Rattus norvegicus: one gene and its partner. The protein of the gene in region 1 purifies or fractionates together with the protein of each later gene. This does not show direct contact. Links are inferred from orthologs where the notes say so. Each region holds a gene or a part of one and is shown on either strand. Other genes may lie near its edges.

Region 1 (3,753 bases):
GGAGAGGACCCAAGCACACAGAGGCTAGGAATGTGCCAGTAAGAGTTGGAGCTGGGGTTTGAATCTCAACAATCTGACTCCAGAGCCTCCATCCTCAATAGCTCTATTCTGCACTGAGTATGCTTACAGCTCTCCTTGGGGGACCATGTTCCCGAGGAGGTCTTAATCCTCTGGAGTCCTGGTGGGGCAGCTCCTCAGTTCTCTCAGCGCTACTTGCATGGTTACCTCTTGGCAGTAGTCCTTCCGGGTGGTTCCCCAAGGTAAAGCTGAGCTATCAGACATTTAGGGGAGATCTAGATCCCTATAGAGTGGATTCTGGGGAGCAGCACCTCCAGCCCACTCCCCATTTGGGTCAGCTTCCCACCTCTCTTTAAGTTTAGAGTTCCTACAGAGGAGCAGGCACTGGAAGGGGGTGGGGTGGGGTGCAGAAAGTTTTGAATGATCTCCAGCAGTGTACAAGAGTACTCCAGTAACCCAGTTACTTGACAGACCACCACCTAATAATGCAACCGACCCTTTCTACCTGGACTCAAAATAACCTCCCCTTCACCTCATTTTTTTTTCTTTTCTTCAAAGCTCTGCTTTATTTGGAAACTTAAAATAACTGGTCACACGGTTAAAAACAGCAGCGGCGCGCCCCCTCCCCGGCGGCCGGCCGCAGCTGTCCGGCCTCCCCCGCGCCCTGCCGCCCGCATTCCAACTCTCTGAGGTCACGCGCCGCCGCCTCCCCGGATCCGCGCGCCCGGCCCAAGGGGAGGGACGCGGGCCCCGCAGCTCCGGCCCCGGCCCCCGAGCTCCCCCAGCGAGTGCTGTCGCCGCCCGGCTGGTGTGGGCAAAGCGTGCGGTCGGCGCGCGGGTCCGGGACACGAGCGGGCGAGCGCTAGCGGCCGCGGCGGCCGCGCGGAACCCAGGGAGGCGGGACGCAGAGCCGGAGCGCGGCCCCGACCAGGCGGGAGCCCGAGCAGGTGAGGCGCGGGGGACTGGAGCAGGGGCGTAACAAAGAGCAAAGTCTTCCCTTGCCAGGCTTGCTCTGATCTCCTAGTCATTTCTAAAAAGAGTCTGGAACTTCTATTCCGGACTCCTCCGCGGATGGCTGCGGCTTAATTCTGGATCATGGTTTGAAATCTTGGGCATATTTGTGCCTCTCGGAATATGTGGAGTATGAAGGTTGCTGTATAACTTTGGCAACAAGGGACAAAAACCGAAGATCTGTTTGGCAACTCCTTGTTTCGGTTTTGGAGCAGGGCGTCTTTACTCCTGGAGGAAGAATTCTTGGATCTGCAAATTCCAACTTGTGATTTCTGCAAACCCTGTTTAGATTGGCTGCTCTGAGCATGCTTGTCCTATCCCCAGCCCCCGCGGCCAAGAAAGCCTTACGATAATAGAGAATGTTAGAAAACACGTTCTGAATCTTTATGAGCTCCAGTGTACCACTGCAGTATGTGTAATAGTTACTAGCCGATGTTTTCCTTTTTCTTTCTTTTTTAGTTTTGAGCAAGACAACAGTTTAACACTGAAAATAGTTGTTTTGTTTGTAGGCCATTTAATTATAGATTATCAATGTACAAATGTTCTGCGAGAGACATAGGATTGATTTAAGGCACTAAGATATAGACGTTCTAAAAATGTCAGACACTTTGTTTTTATTGATTATTTAGTGTTAAAGGAATAGTGCGGTGTTCCATGAACAAGTGGTGAGTGACTTGAGTGTGGTATCTGGTGAGACTCAGCGTTAAGGTAAACGTTGGAAATCTTTGGAAGGGAATATGGCTAAGAAAAATGGACTCGATAACAGTGCAGACCACCTTTTGTAAACTTGTGAAGCAGAATTTAATATGTATCTTTCCTTATTCTATAATGGAACGGTTTTGTAGAGAAATTGTTCCCTTTTTTTCTTTTTAAAGGCTCTTAATACTCCATTTCATTTACTTGTTGGCACCTAAATCTATCCTCGCCAGAGTATTTTAAATTTCTACCTCTTGGCTGTAATATGCAAACATAATTTATGGCATCATTGAGATATATATTAATCAAGCATTGCCACAGTCGGCTTTATACGAATAATCAAGAAACCAGACATTCTTAGGAGAAAAATGCATGCAAATATAACAATCAAATTATAACAGTTGCCAAAATAAAAAAGAGAAAACATTGGTTTTTCCTCCTCCCCAATGCTGTAAAACATTCCAAATCTCAGCAACAACTGGAATTTTGAGTTTGCCTAATCAGAACTTAGGTTAATAATTAAGTTATATAGTATAGTATACTGTGTTGAAGGCATAATTCCATCTTTATAGTGAAGAAATTAACACATTTGACAGTATATAAATCAGATGTCTTCCCTTTGGACATGCAGAACTTTTTAAATATACCTTGCTGTTTCAGTTGCCACGGTTTGAAGTCTGAAACCTACAGGCTTATGAGACAATACTTGGTATTCTACACTTTCGTTGTTGTTTAGGTCTAGGGAAGCACTATTAGTGTATCTTATGGTTAAAAGCTTGTTGAAGTTTTTAAAAGTATTTTCATTTTCTTGATTTTTTTTTCAGTTTTGCTCCATTGTTTATACTCTAGAAACAGCAAAGAATATTGAAAAATATTGCGACAGACTCTATTTTATTATAGTACACTCCCACCCCATCCCCACACCTCCAATTCCTTCTATGGAATAGGGCTTTTAACCAAGTAAGGCATCCAGCAATTACTAACATAGTGCTATAGGCTTCCCCTTTTGCTCGCCCTGGCCTTCTTCATCCCCGAGTTTTTTAAACTTGTCTTTCTGGAAAGAGAGGGGGAGCTCTCACTAGAGAGCTCCAAAAAAGCAAAACAAAAATTTTAGGAACCTTGACCATGTCCCTATTAGTGATACAGCTCTGAATATAATTATAGATGCCTGCAATCTCCTTAACGACAGAGACGGCTTAGGGTTCGTCTTAGATTTCCTAAGATGCTCATTACAGCCTTGTGCTCAGAGAGGCAGAGTACATTTGTGGAATGGAATCCCAAGACGTTAAGTTTGGCAGTCTAGGGTCATAACTAAACCTCATTTTCTAGCTCAGCCATTCCACAAGCCGGGTGCCCATGACCTCTGTGGTTGAGTCTCAGACTGTGAGCAGGACAGAAAGGAATACTGGGACTGATAGAGAAAGCCAGGGAGATACAAAATAGTTAGGTCCTTATTAGTGTGAAACCAAGAAAGCTGTTTCGGTTGAGGCCTGCGTTCGGTTTGTCCTGTGAGGCTTAGGGACGGATTGTCCCATCACGCAGTCTCGCACCCAAATAGGTAATCGGCTAGGATCCAGCCCAGCTAAAGATTTATCCACGGAGGAAGGGGCAGAGGTGAGAATGGTGGCAATGTGAGGGATGGAAATAGCTGAGATTTTTGTCAAATTGTTAAGGGGAAAATATTTTTAGTTGACATACATCCCGAGTTGTTGTTCGTCCCCAGTTCATTCACCGCAGAAGTTACTATCAACAAGCATGGTTAAAAAGTAGTGTGTTGGGGTTGGGGATTTAGCTCAGTGGTAGAGCGCTTGCCTAGGAAGCGCAAGGCCCTGGGTTCGGTCCCCAGCTCCGAAAAAAAGAACAACAACAACAAAAAAAGTAGTGTGTTTTGGGGGGGGGGTGCTGTTATGTGGATACGGCCTCAAAATGCGCGCCCAATCTCTCCCTGCCTGTAGGACCAACGCCGGCCCTTTAAGTCCTCCCTCATCGGATCACAGTGGGGGCAGGTCCTTTCGGAGCACGTCCGCC
Region 2 (2,261 bases), on another chromosome or scaffold:
TTGAGATAATACGTCGTGTGTCCCAGGCTGGCCTGAAACTCTTAGGTATTTATAGCTAAGGAAGACCTTGGGTATGGGGATTCCAGGTGTGGGCCACCAGATCTGTTCTTTGTGGTGTTAGGAATGGAACCCAGGGCTCTTGCATGCCGGACAAACACTTTACCAACTGAGCTACAACCCCAGATTAAGGAATGAGTTAAATGTGGACACGAGCTGAAGGAGAGGAGGAACAGCTCGTGCTGTCTAAGTGGGTGGCCACCTTCCTTCCTTCCCTCCTTCCCTCCTTCCCTCTTTCCCTCCTTCCTCCCCTCTTTTCCTCCACCTCTCCTTCCCTTTCTCCCTCCTTCCTTCTTTCCTTCCTTTGAGACCGAGTCTCACTACGTAGCCTAGGCTGGTCCTGAAGTTACAGTCTTCCTGCCTCGGCTTCCGAGAGCTGAGAAACCAGATGTGTGCCCAGCTAGAAGGCATTTTAGAGTTGAGGTAATTTGTAAAAGCCTCACAGCATTCCTCAGAGGCAAGCACTACTGACTCATCTCACTGAAAGAGGAAGTGTGCGGAGACCAGATTCCTTGTCTAGAGGCTTCAGTGCCCGTATGAAACCTCAGAAATGCTAAGTCCACCTTCCACTGAATGCTCTGCGGGGAACTACACACACCACGTGGTTGGGCAGAGAGTACGCCTTCCTGGCTGGAGTGGCTTTTCCCCCTGACCTTCCTTCCTCTTTCCTATTAGGCCACACTGGAGAAATGTTCCACATGCTCTGAACCCATCCTGGACCGAATCCTGAGGGCTATGGGGAAGGCTTACCATCCTGGTTGCTTCACCTGTGTGGTGTGCCACCGTGGCCTCGATGGCATCCCTTTCACAGTGGATGCCACCAGCCAGATCCACTGCATTGAAGATTTCCACAGGTCTCAGAATGCCTGCTCTGACCTATCTCTTCATGTCCCAGGGTCTGCCTCTTCTTTTTCTATCTTTTCATTCTCTTTTTTTTTTTTGACATTACTTTCTTCCCCAAGACCGAAACACATCTCTTAGATCCTTCTCTCACACACCCTCCTACCCCCCAGCCCCTTCCACTCTTATTGGGCTCCATTATGAGCCTCTTGAGGGGTTGGGAGGGAGGGATCTGACAGCCTCTTTGGTTCCCCTCCCCTGCAGGAAATTTGCCCCACGGTGCTCAGTGTGTGGTGGGGCCATCATGCCAGAGCCAGGTCAGGAGGAGACAGTGAGAATTGTTGCTCTGGATAGAAGTTTCCACATTGGCTGCTACAAGTGTGAGGTGAAGAGGTCACCGGGCAAGAGCAAGAGCTTTGCAGAGCCTGGGAGGCTGGGAGAAAAGCACGGTGGGAAAAGTCACAGAAGAGCTCTCAGACTAATAGAGGTTTTGTTTCTCCTCACAGGAGTGTGGGCTGCTGCTGTCCTCTGAGGGAGAGTGTCAAGGCTGCTACCCGCTGGATGGGCATATCTTGTGCAAGGCTTGTAGTGCCTGGCGCATTCAAGAGCTCTCAGCCACCGTCACCACCGACTGTTGACTGCTCTAAGAAGGACCTGCTGGGATCTCAGTCCCCCTCTGTTACCTCCCCTGACATCTACCCTTAGTGTTTGCACCAAATGCTGTCTCTTCTTCCTCCCTTCATGCAATAATAATCAGTGGAGTGTTTAAAAGCTCTTGCAAGTCTGTTCTTTCATTAGAGTCTCATAGGATGAGGCTGGGTAAACCTCGAACCCCAGCACTCAAGAGGCAGGGACAGACTCTGTGAGTTTGGGGCTAGCCTGGTCTACATACTAAGTTCCAGAACAGCCAGGGCTACGTAACAAGACCCTGCATATATTTTGTTAACTCTCATCCTGTACTTTTTTGTTGTTACGTAAATTAAATGAACCCATTTATAGTAGGCTAGGGATGTCTCAAACGGTTGGATCTCTACTGGTCTTTCAATTCCTTCAAACTTCTGCTGGCAGATACAACAGAGGAAGTGGTGTTGGCAGGTCCAGGCCCCACCAGCCACTGTTCTCATGTAGAAACCACAGTGCCGGATGCCAGTGGCCTGTTCTTTTCATCTTGCCATCGCTCCAGAAGGAGCAGATGATCCTGATGTGCTCATCGATTTCAATGTTCTGTGCCATTTTCCAGAGGGAGGCATCGGAGCAGGTCCTCTGTTTACTGATGATGCTGACCTGCTTGGTACATGTAGCCACAATGCTGTGACGTAGGCCAAAGCCAGAAGATAGTTTTATAAAGGACAAATTGTAAAATA

What was found.
Region 2: the proteins of Ptpn21 (region 1) and Trip6 purify together in Homo sapiens (affinity purification with mass spectrometry; 3 studies listed by BioGRID and IntAct, with this or other methods). This does not show direct contact. The link is inferred for Rattus norvegicus from reciprocal best matches to the Homo sapiens genes PTPN21 and TRIP6.

Annotation. Positions count from the first base shown.
Region 1 is NC_086024.1:123,724,927-123,728,679, reverse strand, and holds the start of Ptpn21 (tyrosine-protein phosphatase non-receptor type 21), read left to right. Parts: upstream 1-870; 5' UTR 871-965; intron 966-3,707; exon of another isoform or gene 3,708-3,753.
Region 2 is NC_086030.1:25,025,696-25,027,956, forward strand, and holds the end of Trip6 (thyroid receptor-interacting protein 6), read left to right. Parts: intron 1-732; coding exon 733-911; intron 912-1,161; coding exon 1,162-1,282; intron 1,283-1,403; coding exon 1,404-1,535; 3' UTR 1,536-1,671; downstream 1,672-2,261. UniProt on the Homo sapiens protein: Relays signals from the cell surface to the nucleus to weaken adherens junction and promote actin cytoskeleton reorganization and cell invasiveness. Involved in lysophosphatidic acid-induced cell adhesion and migration.